Linked DNA regions of Alligator mississippiensis. The protein of the gene in region 1 interacts with the protein of each later gene in a biochemical or structural test. Links are inferred from orthologs where the notes say so. Each region holds a gene or a part of one and is shown in the gene's direction. Other genes may lie near its edges. The genes, in order: RALA, PLD1 and EXOC2.

Region 1 (7,582 bases):
ACAGCAATAAGGAATATTTGGGGTTCCATGGGATTTCAAGTTTTATAGTTGACAGATATAGTGAAACTAGAGCAGTCACTGTAGGCAACAATAATAATTAATTTTCAGGTTCTTCCAGTACTAGGAAGCACTATGTAGCTGCAAACTAGAGGGTGAACAATAGCTCAATGCCATACTTACAGTGAGAACATGGTGGATTAAACAGCCATACTACATACATAGATTCATAGATTGCAAGGCTGGAAGGAACCTTACAAGATCATCAGGTCCAGCCCCCTGCACCAAGCAGGAAAGACAACTGGGGTCAAGTGACCCCAGCAACGTGACTGTCCAGTCTCCTCTTGAAGATTTCCAGGGTAGGCGATTGCAACACTGCTGGAGGGAACTTATTCCACAGCCTGGGCACCTTAGCTGTGAAGAGTTTTTCCTAATGTTGAGCCTGAAATGGCCTTCCAGGAGTTTGTGACCATTGCTCCTGGTTTGCCTCAAGGGTCCCCCGGTGAACAGCTGTTCACTGAGCCCTTGATGTACGCCCCTGATGTAGCGGTAAGCTGGTACCAAGTCCCCTTTCAGCTTTCTCTTTTTCAGGCTAAAGAGTCCCAGGTCCCTCAGCCTTTCCTCGTATGGCTTGCCGTGCAAGTCTCTGATCATACGGGTGGCCCTTCTTTGGACTCTCTCAAGTTTTTCCATGCCCTTGTTGAAGTGTTGCACCCAGAACTGGATGCAGTACTCCACCTGTGGTCTCACCAATGCCAAGTAGAGCGGAAGAATCACTTCCTTGGTTTTGCTGGCGATGCATGAACACCAGAGTATTATTTGCCCTGCTGGCTACAGTGTCGCACTGCCAGCTCATGTTCATACTATGGTCAATTATTATCCCTAGGTCTCTTTTATACGTAGTGCTGATGTTCAAAGATGTTGAATAACCTCCACAGAGCTGAACATTGTACAGATGTTCAAAGATCGGCAGCTCTCACCCCTAGCTCCTTACTCTTGCCATGCCAGTATCTGTGCCAACATAAAAAGCAGCTAATGTGTGAATTTCTTATCATGCTGAGACATGCAACATATTTTACATCTGTTTATCATCTTTGAGAGATTTGGACAGATCTAGCTCTGGGCTATCAGATTTGTCTTACTCTGTTTTATGGGGTCAAAGCTAGGTCAGTTTATGTGAACATGTCCATAAGATCGAGCATTTTATTAAAATGAATTGATTTGGAGTGTTCCCATGTTATGATATCAAGCCATGCTGTTTCTGGGGCTCTATGAGAGATGCAAAAATTAGCTCATAACAAAAATTGAGGCCAAATAAGCTGAATCCCAGAGAGAAATTGATCAAGCACTGGCTGAATGCCTAGGATTCCATGTCTTAGAGAAAACTGAGCACAAAGAACAATATTGAATTATAATAAAGTGTGCTCATTGTACAGCTACAGAGACAACAACTGCTGCTTTAACTAACAAGACTCAGTTTTCAAGATGATCAGTGGAGTAGGTCAAAAACTGAAAATTTCAAAATTAGACCATTTTAACCAGTTCCATAGCTGGTCATTTTTTTTTTTTCAAAATGTTAACAATATTTTCTCACCTTATTTTCTTTGAAAATGTGAAAATACTCAACCAGCTCTAATTGCTGAAGATGTTCTGAGTGGGGCATACTGCTAAACTGTATCATGGTTTGATTAATCAAAAATCTATATCTTATAGTTAGTTTAATAATTTAACTGGGTTGTGTTTTATATCATGGGGTTAAATCTTGAAGTGCTTACTGAGTTCATCCACAAAACTCCCATTTAAGTTTATGAGTGTAAGAAATGGTTACTAAAGAACAAGAAACACACTTGCTCTTTTTAAATGTGTTTCCCCTGCTGCTTCTTGCTACTTGAACAATACCTAAGATCCTCCTTATCTCCATTAAAAATACTTGTTTTTAAATTAATTGCTACCAAAACATGTCTTTGTTATCCAGCAACACATGCCCCACTCCCCACCACCATTTTTCCAAGTCACTAGCCTCCAGCACGTGTGGAGGCTATTCAAGCACAATCTTGTTACCAACTTCCCCAAAAAAGATGGCCCAGGTTGTGATTACAAAATAGGTCTCTTCAAATATTCTTCCTTTTCCAAACAATGGTTTACAAGCAAGCATGGTGCTGTATCTGAGTCTTGACTAACTTCCTAGCCTGAAAAGCATGTGTTGATCGTAAAAATATTTTGGACTAATCAACAGAATTAGGGACATAACTTAAAATTCACTAATATTCACTCTAAAAATAATTTAATTTAACTTTTCCTATGCAGCATAGAAAGAAATCAAGAAAAGTACTAATTTTTGTGCGGGCCAGGAGTGATCCGGGGCCCTTTTTTCGCGCTGTGGGCTGTGGCCAGCAGCCCAGACACGCTGGGTTGGAGAAAGCAGGCGACACGCTAGAACTAGGCACAGACGCTTAGTGGTTGAGTCAAGATTGTTTACTTACACCGTAGATGGTCGCGGTGTAGGCTGGAAAGTTTCCCAGGTAAAGCTCCGCTTAAATCCCCGTTTGAGGACTCGGACAAAACTCTCGCTCTCACGGAGTTGTCGAGGCTCCGTGGATCCTTGTTTGTGCGCAGGGAAGAGGGATACGTCGAGGATTGCACTCGGTGACGGGGAGAAGAATCGATAGGTGATCAGTCTATCGATCAGCAGCCGCAGGTCAAATCTCCGTAGAGGCACTCTGCAGCGTGCTCAAAGTTCTCCGACTTGGGCGGAAACCACCCAAGCCTCTTGTATGGCTAGCAAGCCAATCGCTAGCCGCCACGTGGGAATAATTTAAAAACAACCAATAATGGGGCTCGATTTAAATACAAATGGCGGGAACTCCTTGCAACGTGCATTTTTATGCTGCAAAGAAGAAATGCACCCTGCAAAGAAAGCTTCAAACGGCGGGAAAATAATTCAGTGGTGCCAAAGCACACACAAAAACAAAAATCACACCTTTGGGTTGTGACAATTTTCACATCGAATCTAGCATCCAGCATCATATGTATGAAAAATGTACAAATCACACTTACATAGCCACAGTTAAGAACAGAAACTTTTAGTGGAAGAACCAAAAAAAGGAGAGGTTACACATCCTGAAATCTGTTCAGATCTTGCTAATGCAGTATCTCCCTTGTTCTCCCTTTTTGTTCAATTTGTCCACTGTATTATTTACATAAAGAATGCAAGGCCTGTTAAAGATCAGGCCATTGTGAACTATCTTGCTGCTGTTTAATGACATGTTGACTTCTGGCACACCTCCAGGAAACACTTGATTCACTATAGTTTTAGGAGCTTGGAAAGCATGCCTCTTCCCCTTTTCTCTTTTTTTCCTCTTCATGTGATACTCTCTTGCATTTTTACTATTTACCTAACTTATCAAGGAGCTTACCTAATCTATTTTGGATTTTCCAAAATGCCAGTCATTGCTCCTTACAACCCAGTGGGCACTGCCTTAAATAAAATCATCAAGTCACAGAATCAGATAGAAGTGGGGCTGGAAGGGACCTTCAGAGGTGATCTAGTCCAGTAGTTCCCAATCTGTGGTACAGATACCACCAATGGTATGCAGACAATCTGTCAGTGGTATGCATTAACAGATATATTACAATTACTTTATGCCAAACATTTGCTGGTGGTACTTAAGGTTGAACTGAAAAATTTGCTGGCGGTACATACGGTTGTGTCATTTCAAATTGGTGGTGCGCAATCTGTCAGAGTTTGGGAACCGCTGACCCCTGCCTGAGGCAGGATCACCCCTATCTAAACCAGTCTACACAATCCATAATCTAAACTCAACCCTGACACAACACAGATCAAACACTCTAACCTGCCACAGGTCAAGCAGGGGAACCAATGCCCTGCTTCTATGAAATGTTGTCAATGTATGCTTAAGAGATCCCAGGCAGAGGGTCATGTCCCCCACTACAGAGGAAAGCAACCTCCCCCCCCGCCCAGTCTGTACCAGTCTGATCATTGGGTCAAATTCCTTCCTGACCGCAGCTTTAAAGGGGTTTTTCCTTCTTCCTCTTTTCCCCAGTCCTTCTGACCATGACCATTTCCCAGTAACCATGACATTGCCTTTTAAATGCTTATGTATGTATATCTATATATTAGTGGTATTTCACTTTAATCACAGAAAAATGTGGCTTTTGAGTTACCTCTTTTAGCTGAAAATTGGGGATATTTTGTTTTTTAATCAAAGAAAAGCAGGATCCATCCCACTCCCCCAGCAGGCACCGTTAGGTTCCAGGGTTAACCCGAGGGCGGAGACCGCCCACGCCCAGCCCGCCCCACCCACACACGCCCCGCCCCCTGCGCCTGGCCCCGCCCCTGTGTCACAGCCCCACCTTCCCCTCCCCTTCCTTAGCCCCGCCGCCTCCCTGAGCCTACTGTGCGCGCACCCCCGCCGCCAACACCCCTCCTCCCCGCCCCCGGAAGCAGCTGCGCCTCTTGGCCCCGCCCCGTGCCCCACGCCCCGGAAGCAGTGTGTGGCGGCTGCGGCTGCGGCTGGCCCCGGCTCCTGCCGCCAAGCGGGCGCGTCTCGGCGGGCGGCGCTGCGGGTGCGGCGCGGGGCAGGTGAGGCGGGGCGGTGTACCCTGTCCGTCCCCGGGGGTGGGTGTGTGTGTGGGGCCGGGGCCGGGGCCTCCTGCCCCGCTGCTCCGTGTGTGAAGCGCCGCCCCGTGGCAGCGCGGCAGGGAAGCGGGCTTGAAGGAGCCGCCGCCCGCTGCAGCCCCAGCACAAGCCGCGGGTTGCAGCTTCGCTGCCCGGCGGGGCGGGGCGTTGCACTCCTAAGCCTTTGCCTTTAGCGCCGCGTTTCTCGCTGCAAAGGTTAGTAGAAGGGATCTGGGAGTCTTTGCAGCCCCAGGCTGAGGAGTCTGGGCTGGAGGACACTTGCTGGTCGTAGCGCCACACAGGGTTTGAATTACACTTGGGGTCTGCCAGAAAAATTGGGGCTGCTCATCGCCATGCCCTAAGAAAATCAGAGTCCCCCCGGTCATGATTTTCAAATCTTATGGGTGTGGGGAGGGTTCTCGTCTCTTCTGGGGGGGCTCAGCCCTCCAAGACTCCCCCATAATTTGAATCCTGATGGTGTTTGAACGATGGAGTGTTGCTTCATCAGGTGGATTCAGAACTGACTTGGCTGATTTGACCTGGAATGAAAAATTATTTTCTGGACAAAAATAAAATGTCTAAGTAGATGCTTCCTAAGGTGAGAATAGTTGTTCCAGAAGAGCAATGGAGAGTGATATCTAGTAATGGAAAACGGCTAGAGGGTTGGGCCAGGCAGTCGTGCTCTGTCGGGGCGGAGGTGTCGGAAACGTCCAGCTTTGTATGCAGAAGTCTCCAGCTGCCAACGCCTGTGTAGCTTCTCTTGCTTGGTTTCCACAGCAACATATCACACCTAGGATGAAGTCAGGCCTTGGGGGGTTAAGCAAGACTGAGCTGTGAGAAGGGGTTTATTTGTAAAAGCAAATTGCTTACCTTCTGGGGGAACCTGGTGCTTGGATTTCCTCCTTACCAGCTCAATTCAGCAGGTATAGTTGGGTGTATAAAGGAAAAGTCTCTCTCCAGACCCATTTAATGGTAGGTAAATCGGACCACTCAGCCTGTTCTGGTTAATATAATAGGATAAGGAAGTATTGAGTGACTTTTGCACATTAAATGTCAATTCCCTTTCTAGTCTACTCCTGTGACAACTCTTGTCAAGCATAACTGCCCCTAAAGTCCTTTCAGGTGGTGAAAATAGTATACTAAACTAGAGCCCCTGCTCTGTTCTCTCTTCCTTGCTTTTTATAGAGGTAGTTAGCTGTGGTAGGAATGAATAGTGATGCCCTTGCTTTCCTCCCCTCTTAAACCCTCTCTCTCTCTCTCTCTCTCTCTCTCTCTCTCTCTCTCTCTCTCTCTCTCTCTCTCTCTCTCTCTCTTCCCCCCCCCCCCCAAATACAACCAAACAAAAAAAACCCTTTTGCATTGGAAATGAGCTGTGAACCATTGTCTTGCAGTGGAACACTGAATTATTCCTCCGCTATTTATGCTTATCTCTGATTTTGAGTTACTTTGGGTTCTGCTCGGGGCTGGGAAAATTTAATGTTCAGGGTAAACAAGCACATGCCTTAAGAATGAGACATGTCATAACAAACTCCAGCTGTCATGGAGGAGCCCCCCAGTTAATCTGTTCTAATTCAAGAACCAATTTTGGTTGGAGTTTTTTTTTGTGCTGCTGTCATAAGGGATCGTTTATACTAACCACAAATAGTTTCATGAGTTGATGCAAGGGTGGAGTTCTCAGCATGACTACAAGATGTGCTTGTGCAGTGATCTCATGCTTGCCTCTGTGCATAAACTCTTTCTGGGAACAATACATAGAAGTAGATGCCTTGTAAAGTGAGATTAATTGTGCCAAAAGAGCAATAGAAGATGATATCTACTAATGGAAAGCAAGTAGTTAAGGGATGCTGACTAATAAGCTGGAATAGTTTACATCCTGTTTCAGTTGTCTGTTTAGATTCACTGTTGTAAAAACTATTATCTGCGCGTGCATGCAAACATCTTGCTTTTCTTTTTAAATCTTTGTGAGTCTGTTAGGATCCCCCTGAATAATCATAACTGAAATGCTCCTGAAATGGGTCAATTTATGTTAGGGGAAAAAAAAAAAGAAAGAAAAAAGAGGAGGAAGGAAGAAATAAAAAGGCTCCCTTGTTCCATGAACATGCGTAAAACCATCTTCATCGCATTCAATTTCATATACACGAGCTCATTAGAATTTAATGTCAGGCAAAAGGCCTTATTATTTGGGAGGTGACACATGGCAGATTGCTAATTCAAGGATTAGCCTGTATTGTGCTGTCAGTGTATTACTATTGTTGCTTTAAAAGATCTTTAAGCAGCAGGGTTGCTGGATATGATTAAGAACTATTTATTTAGAGATGTCAAGCAGGAACTGAAGGAGGAAAAAATATATAGGATTTAGTTATCTTTGTAAATTTGTTAGTACTTGCTACCCTGTAGTGTAGACACAGGCCCTCCCCCTCTGAATCTCAGTCCCACCCACTCAGTCTGACCTCAGTGGCTCCTGCACCGTAGACCCTTCCTAGCCCCTAACCTCCTCTAGTTCTGACACACCCTAGCTTCCCCCTTCCCCCACCCAGGAAATGGTCCTGCTGCTTATAAGCAGCTGCTAATGTATATTGTCTATAGAGCTCTAGCAGCCAGTTAACTGGTCCTATTCATGCGTGTATGTTTGACAGACTTCAAGTAAAAATGCAGTGGTGTTGATTATTTTGCTTCTAAACTATATTTAATCATACCTCTTGATATCTGCTAGCAACAGCCCTCTACCTAAGATGTTTTTGTTTGCTCAACACGATGTGGGCATAATTTGCACTACTAATACTACCTGAGTTTATATTCCACGTGACAGGACATTACCAAGAACTAAGAAAACAATGCAACTTTGTTAATTATTTTAGAAAAACATCTGAACATCAGTAGCTTCCCCTGAACACGTTGTGTCTTCTAAATTACTGAGTTGTGAAGACACTTTTTTTTATGATTACT
Region 2 (7,906 bases), on another chromosome or scaffold:
TCTAGAAAAGAAGAAAACAAATTGCTCAGCCACAGCCAAGGAACTTACTGATATTTATACTTTGCATTTACAGAATGCAGCAACTTGGATCCCTATTGTCAGGACCTCAAACAGCTTTACATGAACTAAACGAAGTTCACGCTTTGTGACTTAGGTGAGTGTTAATATACTTCTTTCACAGATATGGAAAAGCATGTAGACCTTAAGGATCTGCCAAACATCACAGAATATCAGGAGCACAACTTCTGATCTCTGCCCTATTCTCTAGCTTTAGCCAACACTACTTTTTCATAATACCTCAAGATATGATGAAGGAGAGCTGCCAAGTATTCATTTGTTGGGTTATATCTGAAATAGGGGATGTTATGGTAAAGGTAACAAACCTCTAGTGGGTGCAGGCACCACTTTTTGGCTCTTAAGAGGAGGGACTGGGAATTGTGAGCCTAGAATATTCTGCTGCTTGATTGGGCTGTCAGCAATGCCAAAATATTCATTGGAAAAATGTTACCTGTTGTTGCTGATCCTGCAGTAATCATACTGTCTGCCAGAATAAACTTAACTTAGTACGGGAAGAAGACAAATACACATTAACTGAGCTAAGGCTCATGAGCTGGAAAGGATTTGTTGCAACACTCTTGGAGACGTATCATTTTTTAATTTAACTCTTAGATAAAGGAAGAAGCAAGTAGGCTGTGGTGCTGGATGGTACAGAATTCTGGAACAGAGCGAACCTTAAATCTTTGTTTTTCACTGGTCCTTGCACAGGAGAACAAAGTGTAAAGGGGGTGAATGAACTGTGAGGCAGGAGTGCCCACACATCATGCTGTCCTTCTGGGGCTGGCAACATGGGCAGTACTTTGAAAAGGGGGGTGCAGATGGTGAGGTGCATCATCACATACAGAACAACACACATTTTTCTCCAATTAAAAATAAACTAGGAGCGTCATTAATATACTAGGGGCCAAGGGCTGTATTATGCAGTTTAAGATTGAAGCAAAAAATAAATATAACTTCATTGGAATGAGTTAAAAACAAGCTTCAGGGCTGTGAAATAGGAGCTGCATTCCCAGGAACAGCTAACAGACCCCAGAATTGCAGAACGAAGGATCTCCTCAAGAGCATTAAAAAGAAGAGAGGGTCACTGACACCTGTGGGGTGCAGAGTTTAGAAGGGATCAGGTAGGTTATAATGAGCCATGAGATGTTCTGGTTGCTTGCCGCAGCTTTTATTTCTAAGGGCATCACTGCTCTGATCAGCCACATGAGACCAAGTCAGCGTTCTGGCCGAGTGGAGCAGTGATTCCCTTTTGAAGTAAAAGCCACAGCAAGCAAAGCTCTTCCTTAATTTGGTAACCCACTGCCACCCCTAAATGAAAAATCCAGGATCCACTGTATAATTTAGCTTCCCTCCCCCAACCGGCACCCTACCTCTACCTTATGATGGAGATGGGAGGTGGCATTCTGAATAGTCGTAATTCTCTTCTGTAGGGTTCTGCCACGTGTCTAGAGGTTTGTCCCTCTTCTTGATAGGAGTATCTATGCCTTTGAGCTCCTATCTGCATATGAGTCAAGAATCAGATTTGCTGAACCTCTTTAAATCACAGCGTTCAGTGGATATGGGCTACCTCAGTGTAAAACCACTTGGGCTGAAAAATGTGAATGGAAACAAGCCCAGTTAGGAGATCCAGTACGGGCTTTTAAACTTGATTCTAGACTATAATCCCCATACACATGGGCTAGACCAGTGGCTCTCAGCCTTTTCAGAGATTTTGCCCTCCTCCACTTCTTTAGATGTGGCCACACTTCCAGTAAGACTGCCTGCATGCCTGTGCACAGCCAGCCCAGGAAGGGCTGTGGCATGTGCCCATGTTCCCACTGCATTATGTTTCTCTGATAACCCTGACACAGACAGAGCTAGCTCAGGCTCTAGCCCAGTGGTCTCCAACCTTTTAAGTAGATCACCCATTGGCCATGTGTAGGGGGTGCATGTGGGTGCGCGTGCACCCCTGGAGCGTGGCAGTGTCCCCCCTGTAAAAAGGCACCACTGACATTGTCAGCGCCTGCGGGTGGTCCGCAATTGCTGCTGGCCGACACTGCCGGTGGTGTCTGCGGGTGGTCGTCGACTAATAGCGCTCGCTGTGCCCCCGCCCCCCTGCCCAGCTGCTGACAGTGCTACGGCTGCCTGCGGCAGCTCCCCACTTACCTTCACCACGTTCCTGCTGCTGGCAGTGTTGTCGCCGCCTGCGGGAGCTCACTGTGCCTCCCAGCCTCCGGGGCCACACGTCGTTCATGAGATAAATGTAAGGTACTCCACCTGGGAAGGAGGAACCCCCAGCACACCTATAGGGTGGGGAGTGTCCTTCTCAGCAGCTGGGAGGCAGAGAGGGATCTTGGAGTCATAATTGACTCCAAGATGAACATGAGCCGGCAGTGTAACAGGGCCATCGACAAGGCCAATCGCACCTTGTTGTGCATTAGCAGGTGCATGACTAATAGAACAAAGGAGGTGATGCTCCCCCTCTATGCGGCACTGGTCAGGCCGCAGTTGGAGTACTGTGTCCAGTTTTGGGTGCCGCACTTCGAGAGGGACACGGAGAATCTGGAGAGGGTCGAGAGGAGGGCCACTCGCATGATTAGTGGCCTTTGTGATAGACCCTACGGGGGGAGATCAAGAGAGCTGAATCTCTTCAGCCTTCACAAGAGACGGCTGAGGGGAGATCTTGTGGCCACCTATAAATTTATTAGGGGAGGTCAGCGGGGAATAGGGGAAGCGCTGTTTACTAAGGCACCCCAGGGAGTGACTAGGAGTAATGGGTGTAAACTAGTTGAGAGTGGATTTAGGTTAGGTATTAGGAAGAAATTTTTCACAGTAAGGGTGGCCAGGATCTGGAATGGGCTTCCAAGAGCAGTGGTGCTGTCACCTAGCTTGGAGGTCTTCAAGAGGAGGCTAGATAGTCACCTGGCTGGGGTCATCTGACCTCGGCCCTCTTTCCTGCCAGGGGCCGGGGGCTGGACACGATGATCCATTGTGGTCCCTTCTGACTCTACAATCTATGAATCTATGAATCACCTTTGACATTTAAAAGCAAGCCAAGATCTACTGTGCACCATTATCAACCCCTCCCCCCCCCCCCAACGCCCATAGCAGGTAAATCTGTGGGGAGGGAAGGGGGGTGCAGATCGAGGCAGAGGGAGAAAAAATGATTTGGTGGCACACCTCCCCAGCAGGTAAGTCCCACCCGGCCGGGGCCCCATTCAACTTACCCCTGCTTTTGCCTCTGTGGCACTGTCCGTCACTGGGGGCCACGATCTAGCCCCCGCCCCTTCACTCCCCCAGGGACTGACCTGCTGGTCTGGGGCACGCAGGCACTCAGCCCCCGACCCTAGCCTCGGATCGACTCCAAGAGGCTCCGACTTCTACTGGTGGATCGAGATCCACTGGTTGGTGACCACTGCTCTAGCCCTTCCTGGTCTGCCTCCCCCTTGCTCCTCCTGGAAATAGGCAGGGCTGAACTGTGGGAAGGAGCATGAGGGGGGCCGGACCAGGAGGGGCTACAGCCCAATCCAGCTTTGTCTGCTGTATCAGAGAGGCCTAATATTACTTGGCCGCCTAAATTGTAGCACCCCAAAGGGGGTCCTTGTGGCACCCTAGATATGAACCACTGAGCAAGTTAAAAAATGTTTAAAGCATGTTAGATAAGACTTGCTTTAAACCAGTTCAGCTAATGTAGTTTGAGTCCTGCTGAGCTTATGTTGGCAATTAAAACATTGCTTAAAGGCCAGGCCCTACTGTAATCTCATTTACTCTAGTGAAGTAAGTGGCGTTTTGCTAAATTTACATCGGTAGACCAGAAACAGAATTTGCCCTCTGGTTGGTAGTGATTAAGGTTGGCTTTTTATCTACTTTGTAATTCAGTTCAAGAAGTGTCTTGTCCTAAAACTCAGAACCCCTCTCTATGCTGAAATCTTGAGAGAGGCAGTCTTGAAGACTGAATTGTAGTATCCACTATCTTAGGTTTATTTTTACATGGAAAAAATTCAGACCCTTACCTTTTTGTCAGTGGAGCTGCAGTGCTGGATACTGCATTACTATAATTAGGCTTCAGGCATTTTTACCAAGATGTCAGTTCAGAACGGCCATAAGCATTAATACTTGCTGTCGCTTTCTCTCTCTGTCTCGCAAAAGAATTTGCTGCTCTCCGTATTAAAAAGGGCTTTGGTAATATGCATTAGAAATTTAAAAAAAGATAGCATTAGGAGACCCAAAGACCCTAAATTTGACCATAATTATTAGCTTGTCTTATGCTAAGAATAATATCAAATGTATTTAATTCACAGTTCAGTTGCAGCGACTTTCTCTCTATTCCTTCATCCAAATATAATTCTTTCTGGACTGTAGCAGAAGGAAAATTGTCTTCTTTTTAAAATATGTGTAGCTTTTATATGAGAAGAGTATAGAAGGAGGGAAAGGTCACTCTGTAAGGCCCAAATTCTGCTCCAGTACGTTCAGTAAATCAGTGTGAATACGTATATTTATACTGGTGTAAAGTTGGAATAACTAAGAGCAGAATGTGTCTCTAATGTTTGTTATACTGTAACAAGTCGGATACTGTACAAAATAAAGATGTAGCAGGAATCATTAGCTCAGTCCGTGCCTGTGAGGTTTTTTCCCGCCGCATCCTGCCCTTCCTCCCGCCCCCCTTTGTGTGTTTCTTAATATTCAGTTTAACATATGGGAGTGGTTTTCACTTCATTAGTGATTCTTATAGGCTGAAGTGCCTTGTGGGTTGGGTCTCACTTCATCTTGCCTTTAGGGAGCCAGCCTGAATACTTGAACTGAAGCACTTAGGAAGACACAGCTTTTGTCTGTGCAGATTTCCTCTGTGGTTATTTTTTTCATAGTAACACAGTCCTGGATAATCACTTCATAGGAGAGGAGATTTTTCATTTAAACGGCACCATGAGGCACCTACGTGCACAGGGGCATAAGGTTAGTAAAGAAAGACTGGAAGTTTTTCACTTCTTGCCATACGTCATTTTGTTTCGCTGTGTTTTTCAAGCTAACATGGAGCAGCTGATTAAAAAAAACTGTTTAAGATCATTGTGTTCTGTCTGTTTGGGGAGAGGCAGTTAATTTTAAGCCCTTTTCAGAAGAGAAAAAAAAAGGGAACTTAAGCATCTGGCATTGCTTTTCAAATGAATGTGTTGCTTGAACGTTGTATTTTTTGGCTGTTTGGAGGCTGGATGCCAAGTTCATTGCTCTTACAAAGGTACTACATTTACTTGTAAGCCTCACAGCCCATTCTCAAAATTACTTTGTAGTCTTTAGGTATCCAGGTTGTAGCCGTATTGGCCTAGAGGAAAAAGCAATCAGGGCTCATAGTAGAGACAATATCTTTTCTTAGACCACAAGATTTTTGCAAAAAAAAAAAAAAATTCTTTAATTGCAAGCTTTGGTCACATTTGTCTTGTTCCTGAAAGCTTACAATTAAAGATTTTTTATTTTTTTTTGCAAAAATCGTGTTGGTCTAATAAAAGATACCATCTCTACTACAGGCCCTGATTGTTTTCTAATCTTTAACACTTCAAATACCTTGCCGAGCACACCGAAAAGAAATGGCTACTTAGCATTTTGGATGTCTGAAAATTTGTAAACTCTTGGTAGTTTCTCACTAGTCTGTTGTGAATGTCAGTAGCTTCTGTCTGTTTTCTGTGCGCTGAAGGATGTGCGCGCTGCATGTTGGCTGGCATACTTTACAACCAGGAGCAGTGAAAGAGTCAGGGGAGCCTTCTTTCTTTTGACAACTGCCACCTCGGAGCATTCAGTCACTTGGGAATTCTCCGCGTGCCTTTGAAGAACCGGTTCTGCTGGAGGAAGCACAGAAGGATTGCTCAGAATGAGAGGTTTCTTTACCTGGTTGTACTGCTTTCCTTTTGCTCGCTGTGAGCTTAAAGCACTCTCTTCTCAAAATTGAAGTCTGAGCTTTGAAGGCATTGAATGCTAAATTATGAGGCATAAATACTGGTCAAATTCAGGCCTGATACAAGCGAATTCATTTCCACTGAGTTTAAGGGAGTTGCACCTTTTTCTCTGCAGGCTGATTTTTTTTTCCGGCTTACTGTATATGACAAGCATACATGTATTATGCATTAGCATCTACATAGTGTTTTAACTGTGCCTGTACAATCCCGCTGAAGCAATAAGGGTGAAATGCCTACAACGGTGGGGAGAGTTATGTCCTTTCTATGGCACTATAATCTGGTAAAACAGATAGCCCTGCCCCCTCCCTATTAAGCTAACCCAGATGTTAGTTTTGAGGAATACAAATAACAGTGGAGCCTATTAGCATAAACCAAATCCATTTGCCAGTGATATTTATTTTTAATGAGCTACTTGTATAAGAGGGAAAGCACTTATTCTCCAAGGTTTGGAAACTTGATGGGATGAGATTTTCACAGCTCCCTAAGGAAGTTAGGCATCCAACCTCCATGAAGTTTGTCTTCCCAGCAAAGCTAACCCTGGTAATTAGTGCAGAGGTCTGAACACCCAAGTTAGCCAAGGCCACCTGCAAGCATTCCCCCAGCCAAGTCCTTCCTGCACAGCTGAGTTTTCCTATTTCCGTACTGGTCTGTGTGTATCTGGGGACAAATCCCAGTGTTCGCTGCTCTAGGCATCCTTCCCCCTATCAGTTGCTTCACGTGTCTGTTCTTTGGGGTGCTTGTGGGAAAGGGTATAAAGGGTATTGGTGGACTGTTAGCACTTAAATGATTTTGTTTGTATTATTGTAGCAAAATAGATAGCTTCCAGCTCATGCTAAAGCAGAAACTTCTCTAACCCACACCTCTTCTTGGAAAGGCAAGCTCAGACTCAAAACAGTTTCCAGATTTGGATCACAGGTTTTCTAATGTGGACAGATAGGGGGTTAGAAGAAAAACCCTGTAAGAGGCTTAACTGTGTAGTGAGGACATACCCTAAGAGTCCAAGATAGATATACAATTCACCAGAAAAGACTTGATTCCAAACCTGCTGAATCTAGCAATAGCTAGACATTAATATAAACCTAAGGAAGAACAGCATTTTTTTTTAAATGGGGTAGGGCTCTTTAAGTTCTTCTCATGCCATTTAAAAATTAGGTGTTATTCCTTTAAGAATCTGATATCTGATTTAAACAAGATCCATATTTTAAAAGCCCGTGTTTCAGGACCATTGGAAATCTGTAATATGTCTCTGCTAATGTTGCTAGAAAAAATGTAGGTAAATTGAGTTTTACTGTGCCAGAAGCTCCAGAAATGAGCTTCTCCCATTTAAGTTACCACCTGTGCTGTAAGAAGTTGAGTTAAATCTGTTGCATCCTTAGAGATGGAGCCAGCAATTTGTTGTGATCACAATTCTGATCTTTTAGGATCTGCTAAGAATGTTTCTGTCTATAAAATACTGTTGTAGCAACTCTGCGTTACTCATTTCTCATGAAACGATTCATTCTTTCGTGTAGCAGAATAGATCATATGACAAAACTGTAAAATGTTGCTAGCTCTCAGTTAAAAAAAATCAAAGGAACATATACGTCACTGATTTTATGAAGGTTTTGATTCTTTGAGTGTGTTCACATTATGGAAAATAACCCAGTGTATCACAGTGGCTTTGCTTTCCCCAACCAGTGTTTTTATACATAATTTCACAGGCAAACTGTGCAACCAGGTACAGTTTTGTATCTTCCTTGTTGTAAGCTGAAGACACATTTTTTTTCTTCCTACAGATGTTGGTCTGATTGCTGGTTGGCGTGAATTTAGTTAGCAGTCTTGGTAGAAACTTGGAAGCATGAATTAGCAATGTGTTGGTATTGCCACAGATTTTTTTATCTTGGATTTTATTTAAAGCAGTTTTTAATACTCATGCAAGTTTCTTC
Region 3 (8,097 bases), on another chromosome or scaffold:
CTCACAGCAGGAGGTACAGAGGCAGCTTCCATGCTTCCTGCTGCAAGAAACCCTGCCCTGCTCCCTTTCCTCTCTTTGCCCTGCCCTCTCCTCCCCGCTCTACCTTCCCCACATGCTGCAAGACTGCAGGGCTTCCTGGTCTTTTCTCTGCTCGCTGGTAAGTTTTTTTGTGTGTATCTGTGTATTCTTTTTCCATCAAGCCTGCCAGAATCACAGAGCTCACCTGAAATTGCGGTTTCCATGAAAATTGAATAATCGTTTATATATATATAAAACCAAGAGTCAATAAATGGAGACTGTTGTTGTGCTATAGCTACTAGAACTGCACAAAGCTTCAGTCACTGATTTGATTCGCCGTAGATTCAGCCCAATTCAGCGGCTGAATCTTCAAATCTGAATCAAATCAGGAGACTCTTTAATTTCTCCCTCTGAATTGATTCAGATTTGGAAAGATTCAATGATTTGGACATAGACACAGCTTTAAATGTTTTTTACATACCTCAAGGTACCAGGTGGCTTGTGAATGCTGTGATGCTGGAGCAGATGGAGCGTCCCATGGGAGAACGGGGGGGGGGGGGGGGTCCCCAGCGTGCTTGGCAGTGGATCCGGAAGTGGAATAGAAGTATTTTCAGTCCACTTCCGGGTCACTGGGGAGCATGCGGGTGGCCCTCCCCATGCTCCCTGGCTTGGCGACTGGTGTATCCTGGGTCTGGGGGGCCATTTGGGGTCCCCCCACGGCTGATTGCCGAACCGGGGAGGTGTGTATGTGGGGGGGGGTCCCCTGCGCTCAGCGGAGGACCTAGAAGTGGACGGGAAGTACTTCTGGTCCACTTCTGGGTTCACCATTGAGCATGTGGTTTGCCCCCATGCTCCTGTGGGATGCTCCATCTGCCCCAGCATCGCAGTGTTCACAAACTGTGCCTGGTACCTCGAGGTATGTAGAAAAAACATTTTAAATTGTGTCTATGGCTGAATTGCTGATTCTCTGAATCAGCATTGAATCTTCAGATTCTGAATCAAATTGGGACAGTGATCTGAATCAATGAATTGCATCACTGTCCCCATTTCTGGTCGAATCTGAATCGAATACAGACCGTTTTACATACACCTAATAGCTACTTGCTTCTCTGTTAAGTGCATAAAGTGCTGAAAGGGATGTATTGGGTAGTCGTGTTGGTCTGAGGCAAAAAGAAATGTAGAACTCTTGGTTCAAATATGATACCTTTATTAGACCAACTAAGAAATCACAAAAAAAAAATTACATATGGGGACTTTTTACCATCTTTAATTTCCCTGAGCCTGATGAAGGGTGTGTGAGCCCAAAAGCTTGCAGAAAAAAGATTTTTTTTATTGCGATTGTATTTTTTATTTGGTCTCATAAAAGGTATAATCTCTGAATCAAGAATCCTACAGTTTTGCATTTCTTTAAAGTGCTGAAATGCATAGCATTTTTCAGCCCCCGTGTCTGCTTTGTAACAGAATTGTATTCTGGTTATAGTGACTGCACTCTAACTGCAACTGTAACTGAGTATACTCTAGGTGAAGCAGAAACTCTGACTGGAATGCAATAAGGAGAAAATGACAGGACTTAGTCAGCTTCATGACTGCATGCCTGCATTTTCAAGGTTTCTAATAGCAGCCCAGACAGTAATTACTAGAAACCGTGAAAATGAGTGCAGCTAGTTAGTTTCAGGACTGCTAAAACCACAGGACCAACTGTGCTTTGCACTTGATGAACACTGAGTAATGCTGACCTTGAGTTTGGATAAGTGCATACCTTTTTTAGCAGTCCCAAGGACATGGACTTAAAAGGTACACCAATTTTAGGCCTGGTTTAATGATAGTGTAACTGTAAGTGTTTACCTCTACCCACCCCTTCTTTTTTTGTTTTTTGTTTTTTTTCCAGTTTTCATCCTACATTGGTATTTGTAACCAAATGCCAGAGAGCCCTGCAAAAATAAAGAAAACACAACAAGCTTTCTGCTCCTTTCTATTGTTAGGCCTTTCAAGAAGGCATTAAAAGCTGGGCCGGGGGGGCGGATATTCCGTTGGAAAACTTTTGGCCCTCTGAAAATGCTGATTTGATGGAATCAAAACCTTCTGCTAGGGACTCTGCCAGCCTGCCTGGTTTCCTGTCTGTCCAGGTTCTCCCTGGCATTGCTACCTCCCTAGACTATCACTTCCTTGGAGAGTCAGGCAGCATGGAAGGAAGCTGTTTGGGGAAACAACTGATTAAACAACTGGTTAAGTGGAGAATAGTCGGGAAGAAGCTGATTTAAAATTCCATTTCCATTCTCCCAAATGGTATCACAGATTTTTTTCAATTTTTCTTGGACAAACTCTTTTTATTAACTTTGTGTCCCTATTTGAATTATTTGAAAAGTTTCCCCCAGCCTCCAGCAATTCATTTTTCATATGGAGGGAAATATAATTATGTGGCCAATTTACACTTGGCTAATAGCCAGAACCAAACTATAGGGCTAGAGACAGACATTATATATAAGCCGGTTTAAATGATCAGATACTGGTTTAATCCTGTAATGGAACTATGTATGTTCAGTGCACATAAACCAGTTTGAAAATGGCTGAAACTGGTTTAAGATAAGTCTGATACTATATTCAACCAGGTTTAACTGATTTGGGTCAAACTGGTTTATGCAATGTCTGTCCCAGACCCCTTCCTGGTTTAACTTAAATGAGAGTCCCCCAGCATCCCAGATCCCCTTAGGTGCAGCCTTAGGTGGGGCTGTCTACTGGAGCAGAGCAGGGTTGGTCCCACCCCTCTCCTTCCTAGCCAGAGCTATCAGTGCTCCGGCTGGCTGAGGGACTGCAGCGGCTGCCAGGCTTCCCCCTGTCTGCCCTCCTCCTCAGCTGCTCAAGCAGGGATCCCCCTTCCCACCCCTCTCCCATGGCACGGACCCCAGTGCAGGGACATGCTATCTGGCCATGCTTCCCTATGCTAGCTAATGCTGAGGTGTCTGTTTGGGTCTCTAATTTCACTGGAACAAAGGGCAGACAGCTAGTGGCTTGCAAATGCAAATGCACCCTGTAAATAAAAAGAGCTTGAAACTAATGAGAGAGATTTTTTTCTTTTATAGGTCTTGATGGGCTGATAAACTTTGTTCTGACAAACAACCTACTGGCTGCAATCTGTCAGTCTTCAAGAGGGGACAGAGAAAGGTGTTATAAATGACCTGGTTTGCAGACAGGCTGAGGAAGCAGGGAGACGGAGATTGAAAATCTCACTATCAACAGATGCAGGGTCTGGCAACATTCCTACCCCTTGAACAGGCAGCAGGAAAAGCCTGGGACGGTGCAGGCAGGGCTGGGGTTTACACCCCTCCCTACTCAGAGCATCTTGTCCAGGCCTGGCCATGCCCCACCTCAGCTTAGTACTGTGGAGGGGAAGGGAGAGCTGCTCTAGCATCCCCTGGCTTCTAGCATGAGCCACTGCAAGCATGTGCCTGCATTTCTTCAGTTCAGAGGGAATGTCTGTACATTTGCAAACTGATTCAATCTAGGCAGGCTAGACTAGAGGCCCTGATCCTGAGCATACATGCACTCAAGTGCATGAAGTTAAGTCAGCCCTGCACCAGGTGCTCATGGCTGCTAAGTCTGGAGTGGATTGCTACATCCCAGGTCAAGGGTGGATCTGGGGCAGAGGGAGGAGGCTGCAGTGCTGCAAGTTGCAGCTCCTTTGATTCTTGTTCCACTCAAAATTTTGAAACAACTTCCAGGCAGTGGCAGCAGCATTTTTAGTCAGGCAGAGCTGAAGGAGTCACTCGACTTCATGGCCCATTACAGCCTATCTAAATGCTTAATTTTCCAGGTGTTAACAACCCTCTCTCCCTTTTTTAATGGTTTTGATGTTCCACCAGTCAAGCTAGCCTTTGTTCTACAAAACTGCTGTCTGGCAGCTTCTCTTAGTAACCTAGCTTCTCTTCCACAGCCCTGTGGACAGTTCTCAACCCCAGCTAAAAGCATTCACTGGGGTGTGGCGACATTAAATGACTGAACATTATTACCCAGGTGCAGAAGACACCATCAGTGAAGTGTTGGCTACAGGGTCCAGATGCTCAGGATGGCCATATTTTGTTGTAGGCGTCTGACATAAGAGATGCCCAATTAATTCTAATGGCTACAGGACTAATGAAACAACAACTTGTAATAACAACTATAATAATCATTATATTTATAATAACAAATATAACATTATAATTAAAATATATAATAAAATAATAAAATTAATAATTAATATATATAATTAAAATATCTACCATAAAATAAAATCATAAAAATACAATCATAAAAATAAAAAATAAAATAAAAAATCATTAAAAAGCATAAAATCAAAACTATATCATAAAAATAAAATCATAAATATATATAAAATATATCAAAACCATATCATAAAATATATATCATAAATACATTTATTATACACAGTAATACAATATAATTTGATATATAATCTTGTAATGATAAAATAGTATTTACTATACATAAATTGTATACAATTATATAATCTTGTGATTACAATATAGTATTCATTATACACCCTAAATATAAGAATATTAAAATGAGTATAATAATAGTATGTTACTATTTTTATTATCGTTATTATCATGTATTATTAGTGTCATTCAGTGTTTGTCATTATCTGATTCATCATTTATTAGTTACGATTCTCTTTTATCATCATTATGATTTTTGCGTGTTATTGGTTTTATGATGTATTATTGGTCATAATTACGATTATTCACCGTTTACTATAATGCAATAGGAGGATTACTGTTATTTTCGCCCAGTACACTGTGTTCCGCGTCACGCGTGATCGCACAGGACGGAGCCGCCCACGTGACGCGAGGCCCAGCGTCTCGAGCCAGCCCCTCCCCCCACCGCACCAGCCCTGAGGGGATTCCCCGCTCCAACCACGCCCCTCCCCTTGTGGCGCATGCGCAGGGAGTGGCCCGCGGCTCCACTGCTCGGGGTTACGCGCTGGGCTGGGCGATCGACGCGCTCGGCGGCGGACTGGGCAGGCCTGGCGCTGCCGGACGCGGGGGCGCGGCCGGGAAGCTCAGCTGTCTCAGGTGCCGGATACTAACGCGGCGTCTGGTGAGTGACGCCCCCGCCCTTCCCCCACCCGTTCGGTCCAGACCTTCCTTGCCCCCCGCCCCTCGGGCTGCCGGACGGAGCGACCGAACGACACCCCCCGCGAGACTTGGTGCCTTCTTTCATCCCTGTGGCACCTGCCCCCTTCCCCCCCTTGGATCTGGTGGTTTGACCCGCGCGGGTGTGTTTTGTACGGGTGGAGGAAGCTCCATTAGCTGGGAGGGGGTGCTGGCTCGTGCCACCGGCAGGTGCCAGTCCTGTGTGGGAAGGGGGTGTTGATGCAAAAAGGGTTCCAACGTGTTCTGGGGGGAGGGGGGAACGAGCCAATGGTGGGGGGGGGGATTGGAAGGAGACAATAGGGTGGTGGTGCAGGGGTTTCTCTGTCCCTTCTGCTGCCTGCTCAGAGGTGGGGCTTGCCTCTGGTCCTGGTTGGTGGCCAAGCTCTGGCAGCCCTGAATAGAGCCCTCTCCTCTTCCTTCTTGCTGTGGCGGTGGCTGCACTTCCTATAGACAGTCTGGGGGCTTGATTTGGCGACCCTGCTGGTGCCGGTGCCCTGTGGTGGCACCTTGCCTAGCTTCCGCAGCATCCACTGGCTGGGGAGCCCCAAGCTGGAGCTCAGCTTCTAGCCTGCAGGGCCTTGGCATCCGGCCCTTGTGGGCCGGGAAGATTTTGGCAGCAAGGGAGCTGTGGTCGTGGCTGCCTTTCTCTGCTGCCAGATTATCAAAGCCCGAGTTCTGCAGTGGGTGGGAGCCAGGCTGTACCCCCTTCTCTGCGTGTCTGGGTTGGGGCTGAGCCGGGCCTTCTTGGAATCATAAAAAATTGGGGTTGGAAGAGACCTCATGAGGTCATCTGGTCCAACCCCCTGCTCAGAGTAGGACGAGCCCCAACCAAGGCTTTGTTGAGCTGTGCCTTAAAAACCTGCAAGGATGGAGATTCCACCACCTCTCTAAATAACCTGTTCCAGTGCTTCACCACATTCCTAGTGAGTTTTTCCTGATCTCTAACCTGCATTTCCCTTGCTGCAACTTGAGACCCTTGCTCCTTGTTCTGTCATCTGCCACCACTGGGAACAGTCTAGCTGTTTCTCCACCCAAGTGGCTGGGTTGGGCCAACATCAAGCTTTGCCCCCTCGTGCTGGGCTAGGACCCTTTTCCCATCCCCTGCAGGACCAGGTCAATCCCTGTTTCCCCCCATGAGGCTACATCATGCCCCTTTCCTCCCCTCTCATGGTGCTGGGACCATGTCAAACTCCCTTCCCTCCCTCTGGGCTAGATCAAACCCCTTCTCCAAGGGGCTGGTTCAAGCCCCTTTCCCCTCCTCTCCTCCCCCCCTGCCCATGGTTGGGTTGGGACCATGTCAAGCTGCCTCTCCCTCATGGGGCCAGGTTGGGATTGGGCTACCCCCACGCACTCCAGGCAGTTTCTACACCCATCCCAGGTGCCAGATCAGGACCATTAGCCAGATTTGGCCTGTGGGCAGACCTGGCACTGGCCATCTGGCTTGCCAGGCTAAAAGGTGGAGCATCACTGTTCTAGACAACAGGGGTCTGTGAGCTGGATTGTTGGACTGTCATCCCTTTGGTACCTACCTACCCCATTGTTAAAGAACCGGGGCCTGTCTTGGAGAGCTGAGTGGTTTGTTTGGGGAGAGAAGGGGAGAAGCTGCTGCTATAAAACAGCATCTTTAGGATTTCTTCTCTTTTTCACTGGGAGTTTTGTCCCACACGATGTTGCCCCTTTTCAGATCTCGATTCCCCACTTGCAGTGCTAGCCTTTCATCACATGTGCTGTTCCTTATGGCCACAGTTGTGTCAGGTTGGACTACCCATTTTCAGATTTCAGCAATCTTAATTGAATAAATGCTAGAAAATCCTCATTTGTGTACTGGCCTTCTCCTGTAAGGTACCAGGCACCTTCGTGCTCCCTCTCACCAACTGCGATCTTCTTTGAAGCTGTAAATAGCCACATTTTCAAATATGATAAAACCATATCCTACTGCAGTGTGGAACTTCCTGGCTTGTAAACATTCAGTGTCTGTTTTGTTTTTAAAGCAATCCCTGTGTATTTACTGCTGTAAACTTCCTGTCAGGGACTGTTTTGCTAAAGTAGGCTAGACAAAAATAGTAGTAGCACTGTCTATTCTCCACCAAGATTGCTTGTTGGGTTACATTATTTGACTGTTGCGTTAATTAGCATATCTTGTTTTTTCTAGTGATGATGGAGTTTTCAGATCTAAGTCCCAGGCTATTTAAAAGTTCACTAAGGAGAACTCCATGGTGGTGAACGTGATTTGCTGGTGCTACGAGCTTTTGTAAAATTTTTGCCTGCAAACATTTTTGCTTGCAAAGTTTATAAGTCTGTAGTAAATGACTCCTAAAACAAATAATCTAAACCAAGAAACTCCTCTACTTCAGTTGAGGGTAAATGAATTAAATAATGTTGGGATAATGATGTCAAGCTTTGTTTGCTGCAGCGTTCTCTTAAAAAGTTAGGGTTTTTTTCTAAAAATTAAGAAGAGTTCTTGTCAGATTTCTGTATCTATAAAACTGTATTGTAATTAACTCTAGGCTCCCGTACACACTCTGCTGGGATATCAGAAACATTACTATGAAATTTTTCATCAGGCTAAAGCACTTTCCTTTTTTGGTATGTGGAGACCTACATGAAATAGTGAATTGAAGGGCTTATCTTTGGCTATCTGTACCACTATATACCACCTCTTCTGACCACCAGTTCACTCCATTTTTTTTAGGATGGGAAAAAAATGCCATTAGATCCTTTTAAAACAAAAACAATAAGTTTTTGGCCTGGGAAAATCATCCTGTTCCTTGCTTTACACTTTCTCTGTCTGAAGAAGAAACACAGAAGGTTGACACAGTCCCCTGTGGTTGTGGTATCTATTACAGCCTGCACTGACCCAGCAAGAAGTGGTGAAAGAACTTGACCCACAGACTGAGAGTCATAGGCATGCCCTGAACAACTCCTG

Evidence for each region.
Region 2: the proteins of RALA (region 1) and PLD1 form a complex in vitro, tested with the Homo sapiens proteins (2 studies listed by BioGRID). The link is inferred for Alligator mississippiensis from reciprocal best matches to the Homo sapiens genes RALA and PLD1.
Region 3: the proteins of RALA (region 1) and EXOC2 are reported together in a solved structure, tested with the Homo sapiens proteins (2 studies listed by BioGRID, with this or other methods). The link is inferred for Alligator mississippiensis from reciprocal best matches to the Homo sapiens genes RALA and EXOC2.

What each region holds. Positions count from the first base shown.
Region 1 is NC_081828.1:124,834,852-124,842,433, reverse strand, and holds the start of RALA (ras-related protein Ral-A), read left to right. Parts: upstream 1-4,498; 5' UTR 4,499-4,600; intron 4,601-7,582. UniProt on the Homo sapiens protein: Multifunctional GTPase involved in a variety of cellular processes including gene expression, cell migration, cell proliferation, oncogenic transformation and membrane trafficking.
Region 2 is NC_081830.1:75,709,763-75,717,668, reverse strand, and holds the start of PLD1 (phospholipase D1), read left to right. Parts: upstream 1-4,810; 5' UTR 4,811-4,989; intron 4,990-7,906. UniProt on the Homo sapiens protein: Function as phospholipase selective for phosphatidylcholine. Implicated as a critical step in numerous cellular pathways, including signal transduction, membrane trafficking, and the regulation of mitosis.
Region 3 is NC_081826.1:120,569,333-120,577,429, forward strand, and holds the start of EXOC2 (exocyst complex component 2), read left to right. Parts: upstream 1-5,008; 5' UTR 5,009-5,115; intron 5,116-5,175; exon of another isoform or gene 5,176-5,293; intron 5,294-8,038; exon of another isoform or gene 8,039-8,097. UniProt on the Homo sapiens protein: Component of the exocyst complex involved in the docking of exocytic vesicles with fusion sites on the plasma membrane.